4 linked regions of the Rattus norvegicus genome follow. Each later gene encodes a partner of the first gene's protein in a complex. Links are inferred from orthologs where the notes say so. Each region holds a gene or a part of one and is shown on either strand. Other genes may lie near its edges. The genes, in order: Crhr1, Ucn, Gnas and Crh.

The links.
Region 2: the proteins of Crhr1 (region 1) and Ucn are in contact, whole or in part, in a cryo-EM structure (PDB 6PB0), measured with the Homo sapiens proteins. The link is inferred for Rattus norvegicus from reciprocal best matches to the Homo sapiens genes CRHR1 and UCN. Residues at the interface, in NP_004373.2 of Homo sapiens: Leu106, Asn107, Glu109, Lys113, His117, Val120, Asn123, Trp169, Val172, Gln173, Ser177, Pro178, His181, Gln182, Thr192, Tyr195, Asn196, His199, Phe203, Phe260, Gly261, Lys262, Pro264, Tyr270, Tyr272, Gln273, Met276, Ile277, Tyr327, Phe330; in NP_003344.1 of Homo sapiens: Asn84, Pro85, Ser86, Leu87, Ser88, Ile89, Asp90, Leu91, Thr92, Phe93, His94, Leu95, Leu96, Arg97, Leu99, Leu100, Glu101, Leu102, Ala103, Arg104, Thr105, Gln106, Gln108, Arg109.
Region 3: the proteins of Crhr1 (region 1) and Gnas are in contact, whole or in part, in a cryo-EM structure (PDB 6P9X), measured with the Homo sapiens proteins. The link is inferred for Rattus norvegicus from reciprocal best matches to the Homo sapiens genes CRHR1 and GNAS. Residues at the interface, in NP_004373.2 of Homo sapiens: Arg151, His155, Tyr212, Leu213, Ala216, Ile217, Leu219, Thr220, Tyr221, Asp224, Arg227, Ile290, Ile293, Leu294, Lys297, Leu298, Ala300, Ser301, Lys311, Lys314, Ala315, Val318, Leu319, Leu322, Phe362, Tyr363, Asn367, Ser368, Glu369; in NP_000507.1 of Homo sapiens: Gln35, Arg38, Ala39, His41, Val217, Phe219, Phe376, Cys379, Arg380, Asp381, Ile383, Gln384, Arg385, His387, Leu388, Gln390, Tyr391, Glu392, Leu393, Leu394.
Region 4: the proteins of Crhr1 (region 1) and Crh are in contact, whole or in part, in a cryo-EM structure (PDB 6P9X), measured with the Homo sapiens proteins. The link is inferred for Rattus norvegicus from reciprocal best matches to the Homo sapiens genes CRHR1 and CRH. Residues at the interface, in NP_004373.2 of Homo sapiens: Lys113, Tyr116, His117, Ala119, Val120, Asn123, Trp169, Val172, Gln173, Met176, Ser177, Pro178, His181, Thr192, Tyr195, Asn196, His199, Phe203, Phe260, Gly261, Lys262, Tyr267, Tyr272, Gln273, Met276, Ile277, Leu280, Tyr327, Phe330, Phe331; in NP_000747.1 of Homo sapiens: Glu156, Pro157, Pro158, Ile159, Ser160, Leu161, Asp162, Leu163, Thr164, Phe165, His166, Leu167, Leu168, Arg169, Glu170, Leu172, Met174, Arg176.

The regions. Positions count from the first base shown.
Region 1 is NC_086028.1:89,572,341-89,579,920, reverse strand, and holds part of Crhr1 (corticotropin-releasing factor receptor 1), read right to left. Parts: intron 4,341-7,580; coding exon 4,234-4,340; exon of another isoform or gene 4,169-4,233; intron 3,537-4,168; coding exon 3,416-3,536; intron 3,244-3,415; coding exon 3,090-3,243; intron 2,886-3,089; coding exon 2,825-2,885; intron 441-2,824; coding exon 368-440; intron 1-367.
Region 2 is NC_086024.1:30,954,886-30,961,694, reverse strand, and holds Ucn (urocortin precursor), read right to left. Parts: upstream 3,610-6,809; 5' UTR 3,575-3,609; intron 3,314-3,574; 5' UTR 3,301-3,313; coding exon 2,932-3,300; 3' UTR 2,779-2,931; downstream 1-2,778. Other genes in the region: Trim54 (tripartite motif-containing protein 54), read left to right, coding at 963-1,196, 1,506-1,528, 1,644-1,768, 1,878-1,970, 2,247-2,257; protein Mpv17, read right to left, coding at 6,225-6,294. UniProt on the Homo sapiens protein: Acts in vitro to stimulate the secretion of adrenocorticotropic hormone (ACTH). Binds with high affinity to CRF receptor types 1, 2-alpha, and 2-beta. Plays a role in the establishment of normal hearing thresholds.
Region 3 is NC_086021.1:183,500,423-183,508,665, reverse strand, and holds the start of Gnas (GNAS), read right to left. Parts: upstream 5,424-8,243; 5' UTR 5,421-5,423; coding exon 3,032-5,420; intron 2,821-3,031; coding exon of another isoform or gene 2,546-2,820; exon of another isoform or gene 1,773-2,545; intron 1-1,772. UniProt on the Homo sapiens protein: Guanine nucleotide-binding proteins (G proteins) function as transducers in numerous signaling pathways controlled by G protein-coupled receptors (GPCRs).
Region 4 is NC_086020.1:104,056,735-104,064,306, reverse strand, and holds Crh (corticoliberin precursor), read left to right. Parts: upstream 1-3,258; 5' UTR 3,259-3,418; intron 3,419-4,087; 5' UTR 4,088-4,101; coding exon 4,102-4,665; 3' UTR 4,666-5,123; downstream 5,124-7,572. Other genes in the region: Trim55 (tripartite motif-containing protein 55), read right to left, coding at 6,902-7,024. UniProt on the Homo sapiens protein: Hormone regulating the release of corticotropin from pituitary gland. Induces NLRP6 in intestinal epithelial cells, hence may influence gut microbiota profile.

The sequences.
Region 1 (7,580 bases):
GGGATGGGGAACAGGGGTGGGGTGGGTAACAGGGGTGGGGGTGGGTTGCAGGAGTGGGGATGGGTTGCAGAGGTGGGGATGGGGAGCAGGGATGGGAGCAGGGACATATGCAGGAAATGGAGGTGGGTGGGGTGGATAGGACCAGCCCTCAGCTCCCTCAGCTCTGCTCTTGGTATTCCTGCTGCACACACTCATTCGAACGCGCTCTCTCCCCTTCTCTCTCCTCCCTCTCTCCTCTTATTAAGACCTACAAACTCCTGGCCTAGGTGCCTTCTCTGGGCCCACCTAGGTGGCCCCTTCTGTCCATGGTAGACAGATTGTCCCTCCCCACAGTGGCCTGTCTCCTGTCACCTCCCAAAGCTCTTACCAGCAGGACCAGGATCATGGGGCCCTGGTAGATGTAGTCAGTGTATACCCCAGGACGTTTGCCAAACCAGCACCTAGAGGGCCAAGGGAGAAAGGGAAGGGAGGGGTCAACAGAGTCCTTTCAGTGGTATAGTGCTTGAACATAGGGCAGGATCATTGCCAGTGGTCAGGAAAGGGCACCCCAACTTCCAAGAAAGCCAAGCCAACTGGTTCTCCTTCAGTGCCTCCGTGATCCTGACTGCAAAGTGGGTGGTACCCTCTGCTGTAGGTTTTGAAGCTGGAGCGAGCTCTGTGGAGGGAGGGCCCATGAGAAAAAAGGCTACCATCCCCAGCTGTGCAGTTGTGGCTGCTTGTAAGGACCCCACAAGATGGGACTGATCTTGACATTTCTCCAATAGAAAGGTGGGAGGGTCTATTGGAATCCTGAGATTCCAGCCATGTCTGTTTACACCTCTAGGGGCCCACTGCACACGCTCCCATGGTCTTAGGAGGTGCTTGGGTTTGTAGGGTTAACTGGAGGTTAACTATATCGAGGTTGACGCCATTCATATAATAGGGAAGCCTTTATCCATACTGTGGGGAGACTTTCTAGCAGTGCAGTTACTTTAAGGTCTCTTATATCCCTGTAAATAATTCCCTATCTTGGCCCTGTAAGCATTCACAGTCATTCATTGGCTCCCTCAGCTGGACTTTGGTGAACTGCACCTGAGTTTGTGGTTGAGTCCCTCTAACGAAGGGGTAGCTGCTTCTTTGTGTATCCCAGGGAAAAAATTCTCCAAACAGCATCCAGAAACAGCCTGAAGCCCGACACAGCTCTGTGTTCTCCAGTGTCCACAGAGGCACTCTGGCAGTAGTTGTGGTTAGACACGCTCACTGCCCTGTCATACAAGTGGATACCAACCGCAGCTTCTTCGGGACTCCGTTGGAGCGCAGCCCATGCAGAGAAGGTTTCACAGCTAACACTCATTGCAAGATGTAGGCCTGCCTTACAATCCCCCTGAGCTAGCCTCAGGAGTAGGTTGGGACTGGGTACATCAGAAGTCCCACGTTCCTATGGATGGGTATAAGGACTTGCAATGGATGCTGTAAGCCACAATGGGAAGTTAGCATATGTGACCTCCTGACTGAAATGTCAAGGTTTTCTTGTTTGTTTGTTTTTGATTTTTAAACACCATTCAGGTTACACACCACTGTTTACGGACTCCAGACTGGGACCCGGAGCCTCTCAGTTCATCTTCCCCGCTCCTTCTGCTTCACTGTCTGCATTTATCCACCAGAGGGGGCTACAGGGCTGCTCACGCCTAACCTTATAGCGTCCTTCCCGCTCCAGGGTGGGAGCAGGCTCGTTTCTGGGTTTTCCTTCTCTGCCCATCTCTTTTCTTCTCCCATCTCTCCCTCCTGTTCTTTCTGCCCCGTCTCTTGTACTCAATTTTTCATATGCTTCAAAGCACAGGCTTCCCCCATCCAGGAATTCCCAAGAGGATACCACCCCCCGCCCCCAGGATACTGCGCACCCACGGCAGTGAACTGGCTCCCTGTAGTCTGCCGCCTACCCTGCTGCTGCATAAAAAACCCAGCCTGAGGTAGAAAGAACAACCTTCACAAATGTGGATGATATTTTCCCAGGCTTCTCGTGCAGCCCAGTGAGGGGAGGGGAGAGTCTGTCAATGTGAACCCTCCAGTCAGCCAGCTGGGAGCTGGGGATGCTTATGTGTAACCCAGACTGTCTTGCCCGGCCCCTCCCACCTTCTCGGTCTTTCTGTGAAGTTCTAAATCTTCGCTTTACACTGTAACCACCTTGCTACCCAGGCCATGACAGTCCAATAGCATGGAGCCCTGAGGTATAGAACTTTCTAGATCTTCCCCTAAGATCCTTGTGAGGGACGGCTGGGAAGTCCCCCATGTGCAAGGCTGATTCAGATCCAGCTGGAAGAGTCTTTAAAACTACCTGGACTAGTTTTGTTTTTTTTTTTTAACCAATAGAATCTTACTACGAAACACACCTTGATGTTAATAAAAATGTATGTAGCACCTACTGGCTGGCAGGTACTAACTAGTCTATGTGCTTAGTATGCATTGATGCCCTTCATCCCCACTACAGCCTAGAGGTGATAAATAAAATGAAGATGCCCATTTCATGGATGAGGAAACTGAGGCCTGCCATGACAATGAGCTCCAAGGTCACACATAGCCACTCAGTGATGGCACAATCCAGCACCTGGGCTGTGTGGCTTTTGGTATTGCTCTCCTTAAAACTCCAGACAGGTAACAGGCTGGGACCCTGGCTGTCTAGCTCCACCTTCTCAGCAGAGCACTGGAAAAGATCCTAGAATTGAGGCCAGTGCTCTGCTCTGCCTTTGTGGACGCAGAAGCCACTGTCTTTACAGGAGAGACAATGGCCCAAGTCCCCTAGGGAGTGTACTATAGAGCTAGGCTCTGACCTCACAAAGTAGCTTACTTTTCATTGTCGTAGTGCAGCTTCCCAATGGCCCAAGCCACAATGATGGGGAAAGGTACACCTGAGGGAGAAAGCAGATGTCATTGGAGGACCCCAGGTCAGCCAGGGACCCACAGTAGAGCAGGGATTCGTGGGAGTTGAGTTCTGACGCTTCCTGGCAATCCCCCTACTCTCACCCCTAAGAAGAGTTCGCATCCCACCCTCCTGACCCAGCTGGCCCATATCCTCAGTGAGGAGAGGCAGGGGCGGGGCTGGCCCAGCTCACCCCAGCCAATGCAGACGAACATCCACTTGCGCAGACGGTCGGTGGAGTACGTGAGCACAATGGCTGTGTGCAGGTAGCAGCCCTCACCGAACATCCAGAAGAAGTTGGTTACATGGAAGTAATTGTAGGCGGCTGTCACCAACCTACACCAGGCCTGCCCCAACCAGAGATGACAATGAGCTTGGGGGTGTCCAGAGACCCCAGTGTCCAACCCTCAGGCTCCTTGGGGTCCTATTCTTGTTCTGTGGGTACCCGGGCCTGGCCCTTCTACAGGGTCGCCCTCTGACCTAGACTTTGCCTTTTCTGCTTCTCTAGCTGAGACGTACCACATTGCTCTGGTGCACCTCGGGGCTCACGGTGAGCTGGACCACAAACCACGTGGCGTTGCGTAGGATGAAAGCCGAGATGAGGTTCCAGTGGATGATGTTTCTCAGGCACCGGATGCTCCTGGGGCAGCAGGAGAGGGCAGGTGGCCATAGCAACAGGAGGAGAGAGAGGATGAGGGCAAGTGTGAGCATCTCTCCAGCCCAGACACAACAACGGAGAGACTGAAGCTTGGCGTGAGTGGGACTGACGGGCTGGCCTGAACTGCACTGGTCCCTTCCTATCTTGGGCGGCCAAGACATCTGCTCCTGGAAAAGCTTGGTGTGGTCAGGATCCCCTCTCATTCCTCACACCCCAGGATTGAAAAGCAGAGTGCTTACAAACAGGAGAAGCCTCCAACAGCAAAATCCGTCTCGACTTTCAGCTTCTGGTGCTACCCACTAGACACTTTTTCCTGTCACTCTGGCCACAGCTCACTTGAACTTGTGAGAGGGATGCCACTCGATAAAGCCCTCACCTCCAGGGGTCTCCCAAGATGGATACAGACCAGCTTTAGGCATTGCTAACAGCAGGTGAGCCTGGGCTCGTTTCTCCCTACCCTACTTCCCTCAGCAGCTGCTGGGAGAAAGGACAGGCATGACTCTGCAGAGGTCCTAAGAGACCCGAGCTTCACGTAGGTGATACTCTTCTATCCAAATGAGAGATAGGTGACCCTTTGTCAGTGCCCCCACCCCACTGCTAGGCCTGGGTCTTACCCACTGCCCCGCAGTACGCTCAAGGTCCCAGGGGGTGGCGGGTGGCAGTGCCCATGCCTTCTCACCTGAGCCGCAAGAAGAGGACAAAGGCCACCAGGAGGGCTACCAGGGAGATGCAGTGACCCAGGTAGTTGATGATGACTGCAACATGGTAGTGTACTTTGCTCTTCTTCTGAGGGAGGAGAGAGGGCAGAGGTGAGCGTCCTGCACAGCCGCACCTCTGTACCCATTGTACTGAACAGTACCAGGGAGGGGTGCTGGGGAAGAGTGGGCAACAGTAATAGGGTTTGCCCCGCCCCAGAGTGACCCTGTGAGCCACTCACGTGCCACCTTGGAGTAACACCATCCACTTGGGCCAGTCTCTGAATCTGGTCTGTCACGTGTTGCAGACAGATAGGAACTGAGGCTGTATCTAGGTCACACGACGCTCTGTGTCACATTAACACTGTGCACACTTACACAAACACTCAGTGCCCACACATGCCCATGTCTCGCTCTGTCCTGGCTGCACAGGCTCGGGTGGGTGCAGAGACCCCAGCCCTCCAGAATTTTATTTCTTATTCGCTTCTAAACTGAGTTCCCATCTTCCTGGTCACACCCGAATCTGGCTCAATGAGGACTGGGACTTGGATCCCTGACACCCTCATGAAAGCTGGGTGTGGTTATGGAGACTTGTAACTTCAACACGGAGGACCAGAGACAGGTGGGTCCCTGGATCATTGGTCTGCCAGCCCCGCGACACTGACAGCTTCAGGCTTAGTGAAGAGATCCCAGTCTCAACAAATGAGGTGGAAAACCAGTAAAGAAAACACCCTACCTCCACCTCTGAGCTCCACAGGCATACATGGATGTGTGTTCTCCTCACGCATATATGAACACTTGCATGTACCACACACATACCCCGAAAGAAGAAAGCACCAATTCCTTATCCTCAAAGGCTTTCCCTCATTCCAGGCCCAGGGGCTGCCCCAAGAGAACGGTGTCTCTCCAGTTCTTCCTTCCACCCATGCCTCTCCCCCTTATGCTAACTCCCCTCTTGCTGAATTGAGCTTGGGGTCTTGAGCAGGCCGGGCAAGTGCTCTGCTTACTGTGAACTACATCTTCAGTCATTCCTAATTAAAAAAAATCTAAATTCCATTTGTTTATTCAATGTGTGTACTTGTATAGCTTGAGTATAGTCATGTGTGTCACAGCGTGTGCGTGGAGGTTAGGGACAACTTGCACAAGCCAGGTCTCTCCTTCCACCAGGTCACACGTGGTAGCGAGCGCATTTACCCACTGAGCCATCTCCCCAGCCCTTAACTTTCTTAATTATTCAATTATGAATACGTGACAGGAGCTACTGGCACAAGTGCGAAAGCCTTCACACTAAGAGTTTTTTTCCTCGTCTTCAAGCTTCAAAGCGGCCCTGAGGGAAAAGCTGGGAAAAGCACTTGTAACTTCCTTTGCAGAAAAGGAAACCCAGAGGGGTATGCTGACTTGCTCAAGATTCCTAAGATCAGCTTGAAGCATCTCTTACCTACAGGTGAAGCTTGGCAAGGTATTGATGCTACCTACGGGTCCTTAGTCCTTAGGGGACCAGCCAGGACCCAGCGCTCAGTGAATAGCAGATTCCCAGTGCAAACTCCCATTCACCCTTCCCTGGCCAGAAGAAAGTAGGACATCAGATTAGCAGCTCATGCTGCTGGAGCCCTGGGACCCCATAATGGCGTGCGGGGGGGGGGGTCCATTCTGACCTGCAAATACTGAGGGTCTCTAAGGGCCTGCAGCAGATGCCAGGATCCTACCAGAGGCTCCAGACAGACATGCACAACGCAAAGCCTGTCTGGAATGAACACAGGGTTTCCCTTTATTAAAATTAAAATCCATGCTGAGAAGCCCCTGGGTAATAACAGCATCTGTGGAGCTGATGCTGCTATGGCCCCGGCTTTCTCTTTGGGTCTAGGAGGAGGTGGCGGGGCGGGGGGCTTGCTGGCCTCTTCTACCCAAGCCTCTACTCTGGCTCCTCTGTTTGTCAGAGTGAAGCTGGATAGTTTTGAGAGGACCTACTGTGTGCTGGGTCCCACACCATCGTCCTCAGTGAAGTCCCTGAGGCTGGTCCCCGCAGCCTTGTTTTCTAGTTGGAAAGGCCACACAGTGGAGCCAAGCTGTGCAGCTATCAGAACCTGGAGCGGCCTGGCTTTTAGGATTCTCTTCTCCTTCCACCCATAGGGGTTTTGAGGGAGACAAGCAGGGATTGGGGGTTGGGGAGGGGAGGTCTCTGCTGTGTCTAAGATCTTGGTAGAGGGGCTTCTTCATTGAGAGTGTGAATCACGAAGGCTGGAATTGAAGAGCGAAGTCCCAAACCACAGGGGCAGACATACAGCTGGGTCAAGCCATGTGGGCCCGATGCAATCTAAAGACCAGAGCACCAAGACAGCTGCAGGGACAGCAGTGTCACCGAGGAGTGACAGACACCCCGAGACATGGCCACTGCTATGATATGAATGTGTCCCTGAAGTTAAAAGGCTGGAAACATGGTACCCAGTACGGAGCTGCTGGATGTGGAGCCTCTCGGCCAAGTGGGGGCTTCCCCGCAGGATCTGGTTGGTTCTAAAGGAATGTGCTTTCCCTCACGGTTTCTTTGCCTTCTGTCATGAGATGACACAGCAGCAAGGCCTTTGCAAGATGCTAGCCCTTCAGCCTTGGATGTCTCAGCTTCCAGACCCAAAAGCCAAAAACAACCTACAGGCTGGGGGTGTGGCTCAGTTGACACAATGCTTGCCTGCCTCGCATGAAGCTTTGCGTTCAATTCCTAGCAATCCATAATATGATGTGGGAGGGGGGCACTGCCACGTGTCTGAGCCCAGATCTCTGGGGGCAGAGGTTGAAGGATCGGGAGTTCACGTTTTAAAAAAATGTTTAGATTTATTTGTTTTACTTTATGTGCCTGAGCGTTTTGCTTGCATGAAGGTATGTACACCAAGTATGTGCCTGGTGCCTGCAGAGGTCAGAGGAGGGTGTTGACTCTCCTGGAACTGCAGTCACAGACGGTTGTGAATCACCATGTGAGTGCTCGGAATGAAACCCGAGTGTCAGCAAAGAGTACGTTCCCACCCTCCTTAGATGGGGGACTGAGAGTAGAGAGGCTGTGAGGAAGGAGCCCAGATATCCATGTACCTGCCAAGCATCATTTATAGAAGGTTCTTTGTGAGGAGGCAGTCTGTGAAAACCAAAGACAGAACAAAGACCAGCCCGCTAAGTTATGACACATCTGGACCGTGGATAGTATGCAAGTCTGAGGAGAATGAAGAGACTCGCTCTAAACTGCCTTGGAACAATCTCTAGGATAGATGGCCACAGGAAGAGGCAGGCATCAAGTAGTCTGTATGACAGGGGATGTCTGGGTAAGGCCAAGAACATCACGCAGAGA
Region 2 (6,809 bases), on another chromosome or scaffold:
AGAGGCATGGGGAGGAGGGGTTTATAGAGGATGGAGGGAGAGAAAAGAGGCTGGGACGTGAGATTATATCAGTGTATATATTCATTTATCAATGAATACATTTAATTAAAATTATGTAATGAGAAACAATTACATACCTTATTATACATAGTTAACCAAACATATTTGAATATTGTGGCAATATTTCCAGTAAATTAATCCTAGAAATTTAGATTTATTGTTTTACTTTCGATTATGTGTGTTCCTGTGTGTCTGTGTATGGGCATGTACACACTAATGTTAGCATGCATGGAGGTCAGAGGAGCTTGTGGATCCTTTGCAGTTACAGGAAGTTGTCATTTAACAAGAATTCTTGGAACAAAGCTTAGGTCCTCTGCAAGAGGAGGACAGACTAACAGCAAAGCCCTTTCTGTACCTCTCTAACCAATGTCTGTATTTTGAAATAAAGCTTAATTTCATAACAGACAAAAAATTACTTGTATTTTAATTTTGGCTTTTGAGACAGGGTTTCTCCATGTAGCCCTGGCTGCCTTGGAACTCCCTCTGTAGACCAGACTCCTAGAGATCTGTCTGCCTCTGAGTTCTGGGATTAAAGGCTTGGGCCAAAAGCGCCCGGATCAACCCAATTAACTTTGAAAGGTGATGCTTGTAGTCACACAGTAGCCACTCATTTGATTTTCTTAACAAGGAAGTGAAAATTCGTTCAAGACAAAGCCAAAGCCAGCCGCGTGGTACTTGGCTCCCAGTGAAGCAGCCTTGAAATTCTTTGACACCTTTGTCATCCCTGTTAACTGAAAACATCTGAGCTGGGTTCTGTGTCCCTAACTCAAGGTGTGACCCTAGCCAGATCGCCTTCCTTCTTGGCTTTCTTAAGTGGGGAGAGGACTAAAATGCCCTGCTCTCGCAGCTCTGGGGGTGCTCAGGAGAGACCTTCTTCATTCAGATTTGCTGTGGTCTTTCAGGACAACAGCCGCAGACAGAAACAACTGTTAAACCAGAAGTTCGAGACCCTGTGCGCGGTTTTGGAGGAGCGCAAGGGCGAGTTGCTTCAAGCGCTGGCTCGGGTGCAAGAGGAGAAGCTGCAGCGCGTGCGTAGCCTCATCCGCCAGTACGGAGACCACTTGGAGGCCTCCTCTAAGCTGGTGGAGTCCGCCATCCAGTCCATGGAGGAGCCGCAGATGGCTCTCTACCTCCAGGTGGGCGGAGAGGGAGGGCGGAGGGCCTTCAGGGTGTCGGGACTCAGGGTTTGGGGAGCGGGGGGGTCAAGTCTTCCCTCCAGAATTTCCACCACCTGGGAAAAGTCACTTTTCCGAGTCGCGCTTCTCTCTCTCTCTCTCTCTCTCTCTCTCTCTCTCTCTCTCTCTCTCTCTCTCTCTCTCTCTCTCCTTCTTAATGAATCGGGATATAAATCCCCTCCTACCCCGCAAGAATTCGTGAGAGTCGGAAATAGGGCTTTGCCAGGGCTGGCCCAGTCCTCACCTTCGTCCTCTTTTTCTCCCCTGCAGCAGGCCAAGGAGCTGATCAACAAGTGAGTGGACTGCTCGGTGGGAAAGGAAGGGACCCTGCGGATTCTTTCCTTCTGACCTGGGAGGGGCTTGAGGGAGAGGAGGAGTCCCCCTGCTGAGCCCTTGTGGCCATCATAGGGTCGGGGCAATGTCGAAGGTGGAGCTGGCTGGACGGCCGGAGCCAGGCTATGAGAGCATGGAGCAATTCTCTGTGATCGTGGAGCACGTGGCGGAAATGTTGCGGACCATCGACTTCCAGCCGGGTGAGGGAGCCGAGGGAGGGACTGTTTAGACGTGCTGAAGGGGTATGAGGTGGGCGCTATGGCCAGGAGAGCAGGGGCTCCACATCACCAGGCCTGCCCTTCCACCTAGGCGCCTCTGGGGATGAAGAGGATGACGAGGTGACTTTGGACGGGGAAGAGGGCAACACAGGGCTGGAGGAGGAGCGGCTGGACGGGCCAGAAGGTGAGAGTTGGACGAAGGTTTAGGGGTGAAGAGTAGTTAGCAAGCTCGTGGCCCCTTGGGTGACTGTCTTCCCGGCGATACCAGGACATGCCACTGTACAGGAACCTCAAAGCGCACCCCCTAGCGCTCTGAAAAGCACTCCTTTTCCCACGGCTTTGGGGAGCCTGTAGGGTCCGGAGTAGTGGAAATCCCGCTGCCTGGGAGCGTTGGCTGTCGGGAGGGCCTTGTTCGTTTGGAGCATCCACCCACCGAGCATTCCCCCCTCCCCCGGTTCAGGTTTGCACTGATCCGACTCTGATCCAGAGCGCACGCCCGGGAGCCAAGGGATGCTGAGGATCTGCGCAGAGACCATCGCGCTACCCATCTCGGCCTCCACCCCCAGGGATGGTTCTCAATAAAGAACTCATGTGTCCCACGTCCCACGTCCTCAGCTCCTTTCACTGCCCACTCCTAGGCTCAACTATAGAAGCAACCTCGCCATTACTCTGCCCTTTCTCAACCCCAGACCATCTGAAGGGGTGGAGGTGAAATAGTCCGAAGTGGCACCTCCTTTACATCAGAGGTGGCCTCCTGAGCCGGAGACCCTGAAAGGTGTCTGGGTTGGGGTCTCAGACCACCGAGTTCCGGGATTTGGCGGGTTGGGGGAAGGGCCATAGGAACTTTACTGATAGGCTGCCTCTCCCATCCCACTACGCATGCTTGTCTCTCCTACCGGCCTGGAGAGCCCCACTCTCCCAAAAGTTCTTACCCTACTGTGGTTGCCGGTGCCCCCTCACCCCTGTAACAGAAGATAGAGGCTAAGCTCTTGGGCAGTTTTATTAAAAAATATCCAGTCAGAGTGTTCAGGGTAACTCTGGGCGGCGCTGCAACGCGGGACTGAGCCAGCTCCGGTTGTGCGCGCTCCAGCCCCGGGGTAGGTGGGGGAAAGGGTCAAGGCTTTCTGGACCCCATACGGGGCCGATCACTTGCCCACCGAATCGAATATGATGCGGTTCTGCTCTGCGCGCTCGCGCTGGCTCTGTGTCCGAGCTAGCTCTAGCAGGGTCCGCAGCAGGTGGAAGGTGAGGTCGATGGACAACGGCGGGTCGTCTCGTCGTTGCCGCTCGCCTGCAGGCTCAGATCCCGCGCGGCGCGGGAAGCGCTCCGCTAACAGCAAGAGGAGTGCGCGGACACCTCCGCCCTGATTCCGCACTCCGGGGTTCCATCGCAGATTCGGATCCTGGACCACATTCGCCGCCGCAGCCGCTGGGCTCCACTGGCTGCTCTCCGGGCGCAGCTGAACCAGAAGCAGCAACGCTACCAGGAGCGTAGCGCGTCCCCTCTGCCTCATGGTGCCGCCTGCCCTGGACACACAGGGGCAGCATAGGGTGAGATGCACTTGGAGCAGTCACAGGTGACACGAGCCCCTTCGCGCACACGCCCAATGTCCCCGCTAGGACCCTCCAGCTGTTGCCTGGTGTCCACAACCTGCCCACCAGCCCAAGGCGCTGTGCCACTCCAGTTCCACCCCTCCCTCCTTTCCCTCCGGGCAGGTCAAAGTGGGTGGGCTTAGTGCAGAGTCCTGGCGGTAAGGGAGTCTGGATCGTTTGCTCCAAGCCACTCACAGGTTATCGGAGTGTCTATCCAGTGCAAGATGGAGCTCCAGTCTCTGTCCCCGGGGACGGGTTGAAGACGCCTTGGGGAGCACGGGGTCGGTCCCGGGACCGCCGCCAGCCTTATATAGCACCGGGACAGCTCCGACTGACGTCAGCGAAGAACTGAACTGATTGTAGAAACAGTGACACTGGCAGCTTCGAGTCCAGTAGCTTCGAGCCCCCAGAGGGGCACGTATCCTGACTTTGTGTCCCTGGAGCTATCTTTGGAAGCACCCTGGCTGTAGAGGGAGAGGCTGACGGAGCCTTAAAGATAGATCTTTCCGGATGCAGACAGAGTCCTTCCCACCACCAGCCTCTCCACAATAGGATAGTCAGGGGTTGGTTTCTCTGCTCAAGTACGGATTGGTAGGATTGTGGAGCTGTCCGTGGTTCTGAATTTCTTCACGGCTAAGAATCTGGGCAGAAGTTCTGGGGAGAACCCTGGGCTGCCAAGACACAGTTCCCTAGGTCGGCTACTGGGTCCCCAGATTGAGATCAGGAATGCTGTGCTGGAAGGGGCTCAGACAACACAGTCCCACCCAAAGCCCCTCCCACCCTAATAGGTCCCTCCCATTCTACTGACCATTGTGGTACAGCAGTAGAAACTAAAATCTACAGGTGTCAGAATGGCATAAAAGGGCGTTCGGCTTTCAGAACTTAACGCACCTCCTGAGTTTGCCAAAGTAAACTTCCTAGGACCCACAGAAATAGTACTTCATACCTTTATCTTCTAGTTAGGATTACTAGGTGAGGAACTAGGGGTGGGGGTACTGGTGCACTCCTTTAATCCCAGCACCGGGGAGACAGAGGCAGGCAGAACTGTGAGTTTGTGGCCAAACTGGTCTACCGACCCGAGCTAATTCCAAGACAGTCAAGATTACACAAAGAAACCCAGTTTTGAACACCCCCCCCCCACACACACACAAGAAATCACTAGTTAGGAAGTGAGCAAGTTCCTGCTCTCACATCAACTCGAGGTGTGGTCAGGTCTCTCACTTCCAAAATCATTGGTGTCTGTAAATGAAAAGCCTCCACTTTAGTTACAGACATGTCAGCCACTGCAGATTCCAGATAATAATGTATCTATTTCTGTGTGTCTATAAAGTCCCAGAGGGGGGTCTGGAAGGGCACTAGGACCTAGAAACATTACGAAACATTTTCTTTTCTTCTTTTTTTTTCTTTTCTTTTCTTTTTTTTCAGAGCTGGGGACCGAACCCAGGGCCTTGCGCTTGCTAGGTAAGCGCTCTACCACTGAGCTAACTCCCCAACCCCACGAAACATTTTCTAGTCTAGGGACGTTGCTCAGTGTTAGAGCACTTGACTAGTATGCCCAAGGCTGGGTTCAAGCCTCAACACTGGACAGAAAGTTGTATCTATAGAGGGTGGGGACGTGTGCTAGCTATTGGGACATAGGTGTAAGGGTGGCAAGGTCATATTACTCTACAAGTATCTGTGCGGAATATACTACGGTCACGTTGCATAATGACCCTTTAGTCAGTGATGGCAGCACACGCAGTTTTGGCTTCATATAATCACAGCGGAGCTGAAATATCCCGCCCACACAGCAGCATTAGTTATGTCTTAGTCTGGTGAATTTTTTCACGTGTCTTTGATGATGCTGGTGGAAACACACTGGCAGTAATATGAACGTATAGCTTGTACAACTATGTATGGTACATATACCTTAGTGATAAACAATAGTTACTGATTCATGAATTTGCTATATTTATTATTTTAAAATGTTCTACATATGAAAAAAAGCCCCCTGTAAAACCGTACAGCATGTCAGGCTGACTGAGAAGCCATGTAAGCAACTGTTACCATCTGTTTAAGTATATACTACTATGTGTACACAGTGACAAAATTGCTAAAGGACACAATTCTTTTTTTAAAAAGATTTATTTATGTATATGAATAGTCGCTGTCTTCAGACACACCAGAAGAGGTCATTGGATCCCATTACAGATGGTTGTGAAACACTGTGTGGCTGCTGGGAATTGAACTCAGGACCTCTGGAAGAACAGTCAGTGCTCTTAACCTCTGAGCCATTTCTCTAGCTCAGGACACAATTCTTCTAGTGTGTCCCCATCAGTTAAGTGCCAGAGTGACAGCAATACTATAAAGGTCTTAGTGATTTCAAAAGCAGTTACGTTTTTAGAGTGGTCGCCCTACTCTGATCAGCAACCTCGAATCACGGACACACTCCCTCCTTGTAAAGATTTCAGGGGCTGGGGATTTAGCTCAGTGGTAGAGCGCTTACCTAGGAAGCGCAAGGCCCTGGGTTCGGTCCCCAGCTCCGAAAAAAAGAACCCAAAAAAAAAAAAGATTTCATTGTGTGCTTAATTACGAATGTGTCTATGTGTTGATATGTACATGTGAGTGCAGGTGCTTCAGAGGCCAGAAGAGGACATCAGATCTCCTGGAGCTTGAGACACGGAGGTGTGAGCTACCCGATGTGGGTGTTTGGAACCAAACTTAGGTCTCCTATAGAGCAGTCAGTCCATGCTCTAACGGCTGAGCCACCTCTCCAGTCCTGTTGTGCTCAGTTGGAAGAAGCTGTCCAAGCATTAGAGGGCCACGGAGCAGCAGTGCAAGGTGCGAACCACGGAACAGGGCAGGCTTAGAGCTGATGTGCCTTCCAGGACAGGTAGGAGTTCCAGACAACAGCAACGCACTGGACAACAGCCAACCTAAGGGACAGGAATGCCACTGTGAAGAAGAGAAGGGGCAGGCTAGGAGAGCAATGGGAAGGTCTTGGGAAGTCCCAGGTTTGGGCTGCCTTCCTCTGAGCCGCTGTAGGGACTGTAGGTTCAGACCAGAAGACAACCAGTCCAGCTCTGCTCTATCTCCGAGTTCCTGTCAGGCGAAGGCCTCAGAGCTTAAATAACCTCCACAGCTCACTCCCTTTACTTATTAACTTGTCTCTGTGTGCACGTGTTACATGTAAGTCAGGGGACGGCTCTAGGGAGCTGGTTCTCTCCTTCCTCCATGTGGGTTCCAAGGAATGGACTCGGGGCATCAGGTCTGGCAGCAAGGGCTCTTAGCCACTGAGTCATATCACTGGTCCACCGGCAGCTCAGTCAACAAATGACTCGTCTATCTAGACCTTTCCAAATATATCTGTATACCTTCTATCAGCCAAGATTTCAATTCTAAAAATAATGCCTTGCCTCCGTCATCCATATATATATATATATATATATAT
Region 3 (8,243 bases), on another chromosome or scaffold:
TTGATTATATTATGTTAAAAAGCCTCAGCTCTCTAGACATTATAGAATTTTTATTATTATCTTGCTATTTTTCTATCTATCGTCTATCTTTGAAAATAATTCTAGCAGTATGATGCTTGGGCAATAAAAACAGAGTGTGCACACAGAAAAATGCTTTTGTTTTTCAAAAAAATGCAACAGATGAATCTGGATGTGACACATGAAGAAGCATGTTACAGGATGGCCACTTGATCTACACTTTCTGGGGTCAGACAGCATAGATATCTTGTTTAACGTAATGAAGCTAGGTAGCTAGTGAAAAAGTCTCGTAACTGTGAGTAAATCCTTTCCCTTCTACTTCGCCCCTCCCCAATCAATAACAGGGACCCAGATACAATCCCTGTCTTGCTGCTTGATCGAAATGAAAGCAGCCTCGTGGGAAACTGCAGCCTGCTTTGACAGACAGGGGCTGCTGCAGTCTCACTCGGCAGGCACCAATGGCCATCTTAGAGACTCAGGCGAGGCCTAGGCTAAGGCTGAGCAGCCTGTCTTCTGGACCAGAATGCGTCTAAAAGAACACAGTGGCTCTGTTCCATAAAGGGCAGGCAGGCCAGTGCCATGGTACCCCCTAAAAATGTGCTTCTGTTTGGGTTTAATTATCCCCTCTAGGAAAAAAAATCTAAGGGATACAAGGGAAACATCCGCTATTCTGAAGGAAGCTTGATCCCAGCCCTGAGGTTTGGTGCAGAGAACTGCAGTAGCAGAGTGCGTAACTTCCAAGCACCTTCTCCCTGTATTGAGGTGGGGGCTGGACAGAAGACCCCAAGTCCTGTTACTATAGGACACTTAAATGAAAATTTCCTGAGAAATCTTTGTTTCTCAAGCAAGGCGGCTGAGACTCCAGAATATAAGGGGCGTGTGTCCACTTGACTAACTAACTGGGATTCAGATATGCACAGTCACTTGGGTCTTCTACCTGCAGACATCTGTGTCCCCACCCACTGCCAACTCTCAGGTCAGCTTCTCAGAGTACAGAAATGAACCTGCAGTGAGATCGAAGCCTTCTCATGTGGGGTACTGTGCTTTTTACGTAACAGGGACATTTGAAATTCATAGCAACCTCCCTTCTTCCATGTGCTGGAGTCAATGATACCAACGTTTTCCCCAGGTAGGCATAAATAAAGTGACCATTCCATCTAAAATCATGATTTGTGGGAGGGGACATCGCAGCAGCACAGCCATGCCAAGGTCTTTAATAAACATCGTCACAGATTACCAAATGTTGCACAGACAAATGGAGCATACAGCCTTAGACACTGTGATCCTGAGATCCCTTGACAGGTTTTAAAGAATAAAATAAATTAATTGTGGAGAGCCACTCATGAAGATTTTATTTAAGCCACAGATAGAGACCATTGTTAATTGCTGTTCTGATTAATCTGGCGAGAAGAATGAATGCCTCAGGTTGGAGATGAGAAGTCTGATGTGGGAGGGGCTCTGGCTGCAGGATGAGGGGAGGGGTGTCTGTGAAGGGAGGAACATGGAGAGCTGGGGAGGGGGTCGTACAGAGGGCGGTGGAAGATGAGGGCCTCAAAAGGCACCTATCTGGCTGGCATAACATTTCTTTAATCTTCATCCTAAAAATCTTTATTTTTTTCATCACAAACTGACTTATAGAAGATCTTACCTTTAGTCCAAGCTATAGCTGCTTGAAAAAAAGATTCACAAGCAAACATATACAGACTTCACAAGTGAGATTACGAGCTTCCCAGGCATTGTCCACACGCTCAGTATGCACTCTGATTATTTATTTTGTTTATTTTAATTGCAATTAAAATACAAAGGCAACATTGTACCTCCCAATATACAACTTCCAACCCTCTTAAACTAGGTCCCTCCTGCCACAAATTTTAAAAATATAAGTGATTGCCTTACCTCGGGCTCTTCACTAAGAAGAAAATTGTTTTTTTATATGTATATATTATATGTAATATATATGTGTGTTTATTTAAGCCCAGCCACGCCCACCCCTGTGTGTTTTGAATGTGGCTTTGCCAACGGGGCTAAAGCATGCTCCCCCCCTTTTCTCCTGCTCTATTCCCCACCCCCCACAGGTGGACCCAGTATGTGTGTGCGTGTGCACAGAATACAAAATACACATGTTTTGAACAACCCCAAAGCCCCAGATACCTAAGTGTCTGTTTTTTTCAACCATTAAGGCGGGAGGGTTTGACGTATGTATTGAGAACTGAGGAAATGCTTAACGCAAAGGGAAAAAGAGAGACATACCGGGGAAAAAGGTCATGGAGGCCCGCGGCGGCGGGCCCCACTCCCCCCAGCCATCGGCCCAGCAGATTACCCAGGATGCCACGCCACCGTTGCCTGCGCGTTTTCCCTCTGCTCGCTGCAGAGAGTCTGCACACAGGTTATTACAGAGTGTACCAACACGGAAAGTTTTGGTCGCGCCATGGCGCAAATCACAAGGCAACCTATTTCAGAGTACAAATATAAAATCGGCGGGTACATTGAAAGTGTCTGGGGTGGGAACTGGGACACACTGAGCATGTCATGCACAGGCGAACACAGAAAATGGACACCAACACACACCAACAACAAGCTGTCTGAGTCGAAGCAGCCGTGCTAGGCGAGGCGGGGGCGCGCACCCCGATGGCCCTAGCCCACCGCGGTCACGAACAATCGAGCCGGGGGAGCCCCGAAGGGCCCACCCCAGCAGTTCTGGGCTCACCTCACGCCCCCGCCTGTCCAGCCTAGGATCGCTGGCGCTGGCGCTGGCCTCCGGCCGGTAACGACCCTCAGTGTCGCTCGGCACCACTTTTCTCCCTGGAGGGCATACAGTTCGGCCACCCGAACACTCCAAAAGGCCCCTTTCCCACCCCAGGGCAGAGTTGGGGTCCCTCCCTGGAACTTCTAACAGGGTATCCAGACCCCTCCTCCCACGGGCAAGGCCCAAGCCCCACCGGAAGGCCCTACCACCCCCTCCCCGGGTGCCCGGGGTGGCCCTACTGCCCAGGGGCAGAAGCTGCGGCATTACCTAGAAGCAGCAGGCGGTGTGTACACATGTAGTCCATCTTCTCCTCCTCCAGTTGCTTGTCGATGAGCTTGCTGCGTTTCTTATCTGCGCGCTTCTGCTCTCGCATCTCCATGGCTTCTTTGCGCATCTGTTTGCGCCTCTCTTCCATAGGATCCTTGGCCTTCCCGGGGCTGAGGGATCGTGATCGGGTACACTCAGATAGACCGAAGCAGCTTCCGAAGGCTCGGGCGAAGAAGTTGCGGACCGGGTTGCTCCCGACTGTGTGGCTCCGGGGCTGGCCAGGGCGGCGGTTTCGCCGCAGAAGCCACTGGAAGCAGCCAGTGGCCCCTTCTTCCGACTCATCGCTGGAGGACTCGATCTCGCAGATGCCGGACGCAGCCTCATACCTGCAGCAGCTTCGGCCACGTTCGTATTTGTCAGGCCAGGCACTCGGCCGCGGAGCAGGCCGCGGAGTAGGCGGGTCAGCAACCTGGATCTCCGGGCTGGGGGGTCTAAGATGGGCCCTGCTTGGGGCGGCAGAGGCTGACCGGCCGGCAGCGACTGCGCGGGCAGCAGAGGCTGCTCGGGCGGCAGCTGCTGCGCGGGCAGGGAGGGATGCCCGAGCGGCTGGAGTAGCCGAGAGTGACCTGGCTCCCCAGACCAGAGGACCTGCATAGGCTGCTCTAGCGGCGGCTGCCCTAGCAGCGGCTGACATCGCTGAGGCTCCAGGGACAGCCCCGGCGGCTGGATGGGCTCTGGCAGAAGGGACAGCCCGGGTAGCGGGCTCCGTAGGGGTGACGGGGGCTGCCCGGGCGGCAGGCTCCGCCGGCGTGGCAGAGGCTGCCGCGGCTGCGGGCTCCTCTTGGGTGTCGGGGACTGCCCCGGAGGCAGACTCGGCTTCGGTGTCAGGGACTGCCTCGGCAGCTGGCTCGGCGGCTGGCTCGGCGGCTGGCTCGGCGGCTGGCTCAGCGGCTGGCTCGGCGGCTGGCTCGGCGGCGGCGGCGGCGGCTGGTTCTCTGTTGTCTTCGGACTCGGCAGGGGTGGCTGGGGCTGTCCCTCCGTCTGGTTCTGCCCGGACATCTGGGCCCGCATCTTCAGAAGCAGGCGGAAGATCGGTGGGCATGGTTGGGACTCCTCCGACTTCCTCAGGACCGATCTGAAGAACTGCGTGTGTAGCTGAGTCCGGATCGGCTTTGGAAGAGTCCGTTCCGGACTCCGCAACAGGAGCTGGCTTGATATGCACTGTTTCAGGTTGGGTGGGGGATCCTTCTCCTCGCTCGAGGGAGGGGACTTTTGCCTCCTCTGCAGTGGTGCTGCTGATAGGGCTGTTTCCTGTCTCGGCTGCTTGTCGCTCAAGTGGGGGTCTCTTTGCGTGCTCGCTCTTAACTGGGGCTCCCGAGACTTCGATGGGCGGGCCATCACTTGCGATTGGGGGGCTGTCCATATTGACAGCGGTGTCGTCGTCGACCCCAGTGGAGGCTCTGCCAATCTCAAGCAGGGGTCTGGTGATCTCCATTGGGGAAATGTCGTATGCGAAGTTAGGAGATCTGACAGCCTCGCGGAATGGTCTGCCAATGGCGCCCTGGACCCAGAGGGGAGGCGCGTTCGCGGCGGGAGCGAGGCAGAGCGTACTCGGGACCGCGACTGTCGGGAACTCGCCGCCAATGCCGATTTGTGGCGTGACTCGCGGGAGTCCTGGGGGTGGGCTATCGCCCCCGAATTCTTCTCCATCGAGCTGAAATGGCACAGATTCTTCAGGTGGAGGGCTGTAGTCTTCTCGGAAGCCAGTGTTTTCAAATCCGAGGTTCCCGGGCTCCGCGGGAAGAGCTCTGGAGACCCATGCTTCCGGACCCCCTGGCGCAAGGTCTGGGACTTGCAAGGGAGGCTGGCAACGGTCTTCCTGGGCAGGCTCATTGAACTCAAATGGCATAGCTTCTTCTGGTGGGGGGCTATAGGCTCCCAGGCCTGGGTGTGCACCAGTGGGGGTCCCGGGCTCCAAAATCGCTGGGTTGAAGGCTTTGATGCCTGATGGGGTCCCAGATGGTCCAGGCTGCTCCAGGGTGGGCCAGAAATCTCCCAGGCTGGGCTGTTGGATCTCGAATGGCATGGCTTCCTCTGGAGGTGGGCTGTAGTCTCCGCCCACTTGGACTTCCTCGAAGGCCTGACTGGGGCTCTGGATGTCAGATTTGGAGTCTTCAGGGGGTCCACAGACCTCACTGTCAGTCTCGTCGGGGATGGGCTCATTGTTAGACGGTTCGGTCTCCATTTCTTCGGCTGGGCCAACCCCAGCACCGGGGGCAGCGGCCCCTTGGGCTTCCAAAGGTTCTTGCTCGGGCTGGTCCCCGACTTCAGGGGGGATATCGTGTTGTCCTGACATATTATTGCCGTGGAGGCAGTTGAGCATGCCCATAACACGGTGGCGGCTTTCAAAATAAATTTGGGGCCCCGTAAGACGGAGCACCCAGCCAAACTAGGGTGAAAAAAAATATATTTTTTAAAAAAATTCAAGTTTTGGCTGGAAAGTTCTCCAGCCTCAGTTTCCAACCTTCGTAAGGATCGGTGATCCGGGACTAGAACCCATGGCCATGGCTGAAGCGAGTCATCTCTTGCTGGCGAGGTCTGGCACCTTCCAAGTTACCTTTACCCCTTCGGGCTGTGGTCGGCCAGCAACTTTAGGAACTTTTTTGTGCTCTCTTCTTACTTTGGTCTACTTTAGCTCCGCCTTCTTGGCATCCAAGAGCGTGCCGATTCGTCTCGAAAATCGTAAGTAGAACTCTTTCTCTGCCGCCAGAGGACGCCGGTCTCAGTGCTGAGCCGGCTCTGGGAGCTGGCTCCGGGTGCCAGCTGCTCCCGACTTTGGGTAAGGGGGCGGATGAGCGGAGGCCTCGTAGGGACGTTCAGCTCCGTCCTCTTCTCTCCCGGACTGATTCCGAGTCTCTCTTCCTCGCTTTTTCTCTAGCCAGAGAGAGCGCGAGCTCTCTTGCGTTGCTGGGACACGTGACGCAAGACGTGGGCATTGGCCTGTTAGAGTACAGGAGCTGAAAGCCTCCCTCCCCATCTGATTCTTCTGGACGGGAGGAGGGACTGCAGGAGGGCTTTATCACCCCAGATTACCCTAGTATGCGGCGAATCTTTTATCTAAAGACCCTACACTCAGGCCAATTATCCATATTCATCTCCAAGCCAGGAAAAGGAGGCTTTAGGATACAAGGAAAGGGGGTAGAGGCAAGCACTATAAAATGCGACAGGTGGTCGTGAGCCCACCGGAAGGGGAGGGGGGGTGAGGAAGTGCGGAATGTAAACACGCAATTTGTTATTTAAATGCTCCGGGTAGTTTTTTTTTCTCTTTTTGATGTTTACGTTTGCTGTTTGTCGGGGATGGCTCGGCAAATACTGTCAATGTCCCCCATCCCCATTACACCTAGAGTGGCCTAATGTGACGCAGTCAGGGCTCGCTCTGTTTATGTGGGTGGTGACGCAGTATGAATAAAGGTCTCGGTAGTGCACTGCGGAAAATCAAGCAAAGCCCCCTTAGGCGGTACTCATGGTTGCCGCGTTCGTGCAGACAGGGGAGGGGACCCGGGGCTTACCGAAAGACCCCCTAGCTCAGGGCTCGCACTTCTGTGTTCTGGGTAAGGGCCAAAGGAGATTTGGGGTGTGGTTGATGGCCCATTTAGGGTGGTCTTAAAGACTAGAAAACCCGATTATGCCCTTAACCCACCAACCAACCGTGCTGTGGTGGCAACGGCTGCAGGGACTCCCGTCTTCCAGCCACCAGTGCCAGCTGCCGATTCCGTGTCCGGTTCCTCTATATAGATAGCCCTTCTCCAGACCCCTTCCATCCCCTTCTCTGTTGTGAGCACCATAAAGCATTTGCTGTACTTTGAACTGCAACAGCCCACCCAAACGATATTAAGCGCGGCCACAAAGCCCGCGGCTGCGCGCCCCTTGTGGTGCCGCGGTGGGCTCAGAGCTGCAGGAGATAAATAGTCCCGTTGCCCGGTGGGCTCAGCGAATAATCACAAAATGCTTTTAGGTCTGGGATCTGCAGAGGAACTCAGGACAGGGGTGAGGGTTTTTTTGTTTGTTTGCCTTTCGGGTTTTGGTCTTTTGTTGTGCCGCTCTCAGAGCATACAAACGCGGCACGCGCACACCGCCGTCATTTTGCCAGTAGGTAATGGCGATGGCGAGAGGCATTGTCTTTTGTTGCAGTACAGCTAGGCAGTAGGCAGGTCTGACCTGCAGGACCCTGAGGAAAGAGTATGGAGTGGTACATGAGGCGGGCTGCGGCAATTATGCACCAGGCAGATGGCTATATTGAAAGACACATGCGGGTGTGCCGCGGCATGATTTAATTCTCAGAAGTCTAACATGTCCCTCTTCCCACTGCAGGCTCAGCACACTACAGCCCCTTGCCAACAGCGTCCACGTGGTCACCCTGAGTACAGGAAAGCAGACAATGTGAAGCCTTAGAGAATGCCTGCGATCTCCCGAAGGCGTGTCACCTCAGCTCTACGGCTCAACACACTGCATGCCGGACACTTTGAACTTTGGTCCAAAGTTTGGCCAACTACCCCCACTCAAAATGGCGAAACGGTTTGAACACACACGGAATGGGCCAACTGGGTCTCAACCACTAACCCACTCCCCTCCGACCCCAGCGACAGGTCAGCTATTGGGCTGGGGTCACGCCAATCAAGGATTCCTGGCGAATGAGCAGGGGGCTTCAGACCGGAAACCGGATATGGGTGGGAGGTCCAAAAGGGGGCGCCGCGTTGGAACGCCCAAAGAGGTTGTGCTTGCTGGGTTGGTTGGAAGCAGTTGGCGGGCGGGCGTATGGCGGTCAGGCCTAGAAGGCCACGGTCGCCGTAAGTTCCTTGGGGGATCAAGCTTTTTGATCCCCTAACTTGCCAAGGCAAGGTGGGAAGGTCAGGGACACCCATGGACCATCTCTTGGGCTCATAATGGCGGTAGGCTAACCCACTTCACAGAGAGGGCTATCGCCGAGGCACCGCGAAGAGAGGCTTTTCCAGGGGCTGGAGGTGGTGAGCCAGGCCTATGGAGAGAGAGAGCATACTGCTCCGATGCAGACGAGCAGTACAAGATGGACAGAGTTCATTTCCCAGGGATGCTGAACCCTGCACAAGGTGAAAGGTCAGTAGACGCTGAGGTTGGAGACCCTAGGAGACCGCCACGCGGATCTCGTGGGCTTTCCAGGCCTCTCACACCCATC
Region 4 (7,572 bases), on another chromosome or scaffold:
AACTGTTAAAAATGACAATACTGTTCCCATGGAAGCAGTAAGGTATTTATGTTTTTGAAATCCTTTCTCTTTCATTTTATGAAGATGGCTATCAAATCTATCTAAAGTTCAGTGACCACAATAATTAAGCAACGTGAATGTGAGGAAAGATGACAGACTGATTGCAACAACTTTTTTAGTTAGCAAACTTGAAGAGTGTATTTGCTTGCCTGGATTTTGCCAATAGAAGTATATAAAAGTGCAGAAGAAGCCGGCGCTAAGGAGCTACCTGCTTTCTGTCTGTCTGTCTGTCTGTCTGTCTGTCTGTCTGTCTCTCTCTCTCTCTCTCTCTCTCTCTCTCTCTCTCTCTGTGTGTGTATGTGTGTGTGTGTGTGTACCTGTGTGCATGTGTACCTGTCTGCCTGTGTACATGTGTGCATGTGTACCTGTGTGCATGTGTGCCTGTGTGTGTCTGTGGAACTACAGCTTGAACACAAGGCAAGTGTTCTGCACTTAGTCCCATACACAACTCTATTGTTTTTCTTTTATTTAATTAATTTGTACTCTATATTATTTAACTCACTCCTATGTTACATTGCTTTTGAAAAAGTATTTTGAACAGAAATTAATCACTATTTGGTGCCCATATTTCTTGGACATATTTCCAGGATCTAAAAGCATTTGTGCTGGTCCTTTTATGACTCCTTAAAATAAGTGAGGTGGTATATCTTGGTGTGAGATTTATAAGCCTAGATTTCTTAGTGTCTTGTATAGAACATTGTTACTTCTCCAATCACACATCTATATCATAATTTCAAGAATCCCTACTCTCTGTATTCTATAAAAAGGTAAAAAGTAATGCTTTTATTTTGTGTGATTTTTATTTGTGTATTTTTGCATTTTCATTTTTAGGTGCATCAGTGCACATCACATCATAATCACAAGATTCAGCTAACATGAAAATAGCAGCGTGCACACACTGACATTTAAAGGCAAGGGGCACTGCACAAAGACTTTCTGTATTCTCATGCCTTGGCAATAAACCGGAGAAAAGGCACATCAAGAACTGATGTGTATGCTGTGCCACCTAAATTCAACTCATCTAGGCTCATTCATGTACCTTTGCTGGGAAGGGAAGCACAAAGGATACTGCAGTGCTGTGTCAATAGTAAGGCTGGCAGTCAAAAGAACTGGGTTCTTGTTCTGACTTTATCACTAGCCAAGTAACTTCAGATTACCACCAGTTTTCATTTAAACCAAGTGACTATTTCTAAGACAAGTATTCTCTGATTTACTTCAGTAAATTATGATACTTCACAATTTATATTCCAGTGAAACCCCATGGCAACAGCAAGGGAGAGACAGTAAAAATGCATCCTCAGACGGCCCCATGGGAAGGGATTTTAAGGGTCAGGAGGTTAGCAAGGGACTCACACTTGCTACTTCTTCTCCCAAGGAACCTCCCTGACTTCTGGACTGCTCCCAGGCACTTCCCTTTCTTACTTCCTCTTCAGGACTCATTGGCTGCTTTCCCTCTCCAGACTGGCATTTAAGCTGAACTTTATGAATGGGCAGAGAAGGGGTTAGAATTAAAGTTAAAACAAAACAGAAACCAACCAACAAAAAACCCAGGCACTGAGATGAATTTCAACTTCTAAAATGCCCACAGTAACAATAATGAAGGTTCTGGAGGCCTCCTTATCGATGCAAACCCCCTTTAATCAGTATTTATTAACAAATGACATTTTCCCAGTGGACAGGGAAAATGTTCTTGTCTTCTTGTCTATCAAAAATGCATCCCACAGTGCATTATTCATCTATGAGCTGACTTTTCTGCAAACTCCCAGTGTTTCCCCCCACTTTCCTTTTGTTTCTAGAAGAGTTGTCGATTAATACAGGTCCCAAACAGGGGTTGAAGTCTGCATTGCATTATCTGTTACTTTAGAGACAGAGAAAATGGCAGACATAACCAGAAACAGGGAACAGGAAAATTTGGATAAACAGTAGTGGTGGTTATGAGGCAACTGAAATGAATCACAGACACTAGAGTTTGTAACAGCATCTTGAATTGCAGGATTAAAGGTAACTGCTTCCCACTTAGACATAATATCCATTTAACTCAAAATTGAGAGTGGATTTGTAGACATGGCATTGTATTCTATAATAGTGTCAGAGAGCAATTACTAAAGACACTGTGGTACACATTTGAATTTGGAGAAAGGAACAGAACACATAATAAATAACTTGAGTGCCTTGCTATACATACTGTCATGATTTAATAGTATATGGAGGTAAAATGAAAGATTCTCATTTACAGGCTCAAGGACTGATTTTTTTCAGGTTATCAAGCAGCTTATGTTTGTTCAACACAAGAATTAGAACAATGCCTCCCTCCTTGGGTTTGCACTGTAGACTGGGAATAGACTTTTTAATGCACACAGCTCACCGTGGTCTTCTTAGGAGAGCAGAAAAGTCCTGATTAACTTTAGATTCTGAGAGGAGACCCATAGGAGACCCGAGATTCACTTGAACCTGAGGTTTTTGTTAAGAGTCTTTGTTTACAGCCTTCATTATTAGAATAGCTCTTTTCTCATGAAGAAAAACACGCAGCTGGTTTCAAAAACCTTATTGGTCTTGTCTTCAGATCCACAATTCTTTTATCTGCTCTTGGGAAGACTAAGGAGCTAAAAGCTAAGACTTGGTTGTCTCTGTCCCCTAGTTCTTCATTCTCCTCCAGGCAGAAAGATGGCAGGCCATAGTAAAGACATATTTCAGATACTAAGATCTTTCCTGAGAGTACAACATGACAGAAAAGTTAGGTGGGAGTGGTGAGACACCAGGAAATGTCCAAATCCACCCCCTTAATGGTGGCTACCTTCTTGGCAGCTCTGCACTCCCCACCTCTTTCTCTCTCCCACTCTGCCTCTTTTCTGGTCTGTATCTGGCCTATCATAGTAAGAGGTCAGTATGTTTTCCACACTTGGATAATCTCATTCAAGAATTTTTGTCAATGGACAAGTCATAAGAAGCCCTTCCATTTTAGGGCTCGTTGACGTCACCAAGGAGGCGATAAATATCTGTTGATATAATTGGATGTGAGATTCAGTGTTGAAATAGCAGAACCCTGTCCCTCGCTCCTTGGCAGGGCCCTATTATTTATGCAGGAGCAGAGGCAGCACGCAATCGAGCTGTCAAGAGAGCGTCAGCTTATTAGGCAAATGCTGCGTGCTTTCTGAAGAGGGTCGACGTTATAAAATCTCACTCCGGGCTCTGGTGTGGAGAAACTCAGAGCCCAAGTACGTTGAGAAACTGAAGAGAAAGGGGAAAGGCAAAGAAAAGGAGAAGAGAAAGGAGAAGAGGAAGAAAACCTGCAGGAGGCATCCTGAGAGAGGTACCTCGCAGAACAACAGTGCGGGCTCACCTGCCAAGGGAGGAGAAGGTAGGCAGCGCCTAGATGGGCGCCACCAACTTTGTGCTGCCTGAGCTGCTGTGGTGCGCCCCGGAGCCAGCTGCCCAAGTGCTGGAATGCCTGTGCCTATGCATGTATGTGTGTCGCTAACTGTGCCTTAAAATTCCGATGACAGCCGCGATGTGGCAAAAAGCTAAGTTAGACGGCGGCTGCGGCTGCTCATCTTTATGCACTCAATCCAATCTGCCACTCATTGCTCATAGTCTGTGTAAAGAATGGCTCCCTTATTGTGTCCCATACCCGCAAGCAAAGGGAGCAAGGGCAGGAATGGAGACAGAGAGGAGGAAATGATGTCCGAAAGGGGCGATTAGAGCGGGCGAATAGCTTAAACCTGTGGCACTTCTCCGGGCTCAAGAAAGTCAGTTTGGGGAAGACTTAGGAAGAGGAGTCAGGGGGTGTCCCTTTTAGGTCTCCAAGGAAGGGTCACCTGCAGGCTCGCACCATATGAGCTTTGCAGGTACATAGCTTCAGCACCGCGGACAGCGTCACAGAAGCCCAGAGCCTGTCTTGTCTGTGTCTGTCGGATAGGAAGTCCCGCTACACCTTCCAGCTGAGCTAAACTCTAACCAGTCTTACCTCTCTCCCCCACCTTCTCTTTCCTCCACCTTGTCTCTCCCTCTACCCCAACCTCGGCTGCAGAGAGCGCCCCTAACATGCGGCTGCGGCTGCTGGTGTCCGCGGGCATGCTGCTGGTGGCTCTGTCGCCCTGTCTGCCTTGCAGGGCCCTGCTGAGCAGGGGATCCGTCTCTGGAGCGCCGCGGGCCCCGCAGCCGTTGAATTTCTTGCAACCGGAGCAGCCCCAGCAACCTCAGCCGATTCTGATCCGCATGGGTGAAGAATACTTCCTCCGCCTGGGGAACCTCAACAGAAGTCCCGCTGCTCGGCTGTCCCCCAACTCCACGCCCCTCACCGCGGGTCGCGGCAGCCGCCCCTCGCACGACCAGGCTGCGGCTAACTTTTTCCGCGTGTTGCTGCAGCAGCTGCAGATGCCTCAGCGCCCGCTCGACAGCAGCACGGAGCTGGCGGAACGCGGCGCCGAGGATGCCCTCGGTGGCCACCAGGGGGCGCTGGAGAGGGAGAGGCGGTCCGAGGAGCCGCCCATCTCTCTGGATCTCACCTTCCACCTTCTGAGGGAAGTCTTGGAAATGGCCAGGGCAGAGCAGTTAGCTCAGCAAGCTCACAGCAACAGGAAACTGATGGAGATTATCGGGAAATGAAATGTTGCGCTTGGCCAAAACGATTCTGCATTTAGCACACAAGTAAAAATAAAAAATTTAAAACACAGTATTCTGTACCATACTGCAGCTCTGATATCATTTGTTTATTTTTATATAGCTTGAAGCATAGAAGATGTACAGGGAGAGAGCCTATATACCCCTTAATTAGCATGCACAAAGTGTGTTTCTTTGTAGTAACAAAACAGCGTTATTTGTATTGCCCACGCTTAGTTTCTATGTGCAAATAAGTGTCTTTATAGCGATATCTTAAAGAAAATGTGGATCCAAGGAGGAAACCTTTAAAAAAGCAGATGGAAGTCACCCAGTTGTTTTTATTTGGAGACACAGTGTAAGAGAATTCATTCTTGAGGGGTGGCTAGGACAAAATGTGTAAGCTCTTTGAATCAACTTTTTCTTGTAAATGTTTCAATAATAAAACATCTTTCTGATCCTTGGTCAATTTGGTTGTGTCAGAGAACGTTGACTATATTTTTAATAAAATCTGAAAGGTTGTTGTGGCTTTATTTTTCCTCTTCAGAAATGGACCCAGCACAAGAAAATAAAAACAATACAACAATCCCCTCCCCAAAAAACAAACCCTACATTTTATTTTCTCCTAAAAATATGAACGTTGTCACATAGCTTACACTAGCCCTGCAATTTGTCCTGGGCTTTCCTCTGTATCTCAGATTTCCCTTCTGAGATTGAATTAAATAATTTTAGAGGTTCCTCCCACCCTTAAAACTTGATAATTTTACAACTAGAAGATCAGTCACAGTGGAAATAGCTTGCAAGCCTAATTAGTTGAGGACCAGGAAGTGTGGGCATCCTGGCAAATGGGTGGACGTCAGAGGACAACTGATGGATGTCAGAGGACTCCTACCATGTGAGTCCTAAGAATTGAACTTGGTTCTTCAGGTCCAAAGGCAAGTGGTTGTACCCACTGTACTATCTCACCAGCCTTAGTTAGGAGAAACTTAATAATGCAAACATTTCAAATAAATAAACATATTTGTGGTAAAAGGGCACTTGGGAAATTTTTTCTTAAAAAAGAATAATAGCTCCACAAATACCTTTCATATTTCTCTCTATCCCAGTCCTAATAACTGCAACTTGTAGGACTGTTATTTGCTTCTAAAATTAAACAGCGTATCTAATTAGTCGGACAATATATTTGCTTTAGTAGTTTGGTTACAGCTATAAAATTTTTAGTTCCATAATTAATACTTTAAAATTAATTTGTATGTATGAAGATGGCACTTCTCTTGAGGCCCTTGAAATGTGCTTGATTAATGGCTTAATAATAAAACATGAATCACTGAATAAATTGCTAGGAGACTAAAGTTCTTAAAAACATTTATTTAGGAGTTCATTTAAAGTAACGTTACACGTATGTGATGAAAGCATGGAGAGAGAGAAGGGAGAGAGGGGAGAGAGAGGAGAGGGAGAGGGAGAGAGAAAGCGCACAGGGGGAGACTGTGTGTATATTTAAATACATGCAGTTGTTCCACAGTTTGCTGAATTGCTGCTATGGCAGACACATAAGAAAGTAGACAGTTCCTCCCAGAAAGTCTTCAATTAAAGTGGCTGTTACATGGATATAAGATTATGAGATATGTAAATAGTATTAGAAAAATGTCTAAAGAATTGCCCTAGACCTTTGGCCTTCTGGACTATGGAAGTGTGGCCACATGTAAAGAAAACTTCTGGCTGTACATCCTGTGACATCTGTAGGGAAGAGGAACCTCTATAGCATTCTACATAGCTTTGGTCAGTGACCAATCTCCATATTTTGATAAATGGGTCAGTTCTGAACTGACACTGAATGTCACCTACCACCTGCAATGCTAAGGAGAAAAGCAAAAGGCACGAGTGTCCGAAAATAACAAGAAGCCCAGAGAGAGGAGAGTGTTCTGCCAGTTTGTAACCGCTCGCCACTCACAGCTGATGTGTACACGCACCACACCTACACACCCTTCAGAATGTTTCTCACCCAATAAAAGCATAAGATCAAGTTTCTTCATCAGAGTATTTTCTGTAATTTTTGTTCTGAGCATAATCATTTTCTCAACAAGTTAGATAAGTCATCTGGAATTAAAGGGTGTTGTTCTTGTTTTGTTTTGGTTTTAGAAATCCTGTCCAGAGGTCCCCTTCGTATGCATCACGGTGAATTTCCACCAGGTTTCCCTATGTGCTTCTCAGCCAGGCAGACAGGGGGCAGCAAGGAGAATAAATATCATTCATTTAGGGAATTCAACCAGGAGAAGGAGAAGACGTGGCGAGCTGGCTCAGAATCAGCCCCACCCCCACTCCCCAAGGCTGCAGCCTGTCCCTGGGGAGAAGAGGCCTCAAATCCAATCTGCAAAAGAAGAAAATGTGGATGAGAGGAAGGAGAGAGTAGACCTTTGGAGAATTGGTCCAGTCACTGTTCTACTGAGGAGAGAGGTTGATAATCATAATTACAGGAAGCATAATTATTATTAGGGACAGAAAGCAAGCTCAGGTCATCTTAGTTATGGTCAAGAGCCATTAAAGTGAGTCACACTCATGATTCAAAAGAAAAAGCAATAGCACATGCCATGGAAGGGAGCTCTAGTGGGGAGGGGCCAGGTTTCCCTGCTTCATTTTCCCAAATTAGGTTGTTCATGATCTACTGATGTGACAGTCTCATTCATACACGCAGATATCTAGGCTTACAAAAATCTGCAAAACTATTAAAATCCTGCTAATCCTCATAGCTCAGTGACAGAGTGCTTTCCCAGCACATCTTAGGCCTGAGTTTCATCCCCAATGTCTTATAAGACAGAGAAAGGTGAGGGAGAAAAGAGAGAAGGGAAGGAAGGGGTGGGGAGCCCAAACTAAAATGATGTTGCTATATCATGACATCGCAGTTTATAGTCATATCCA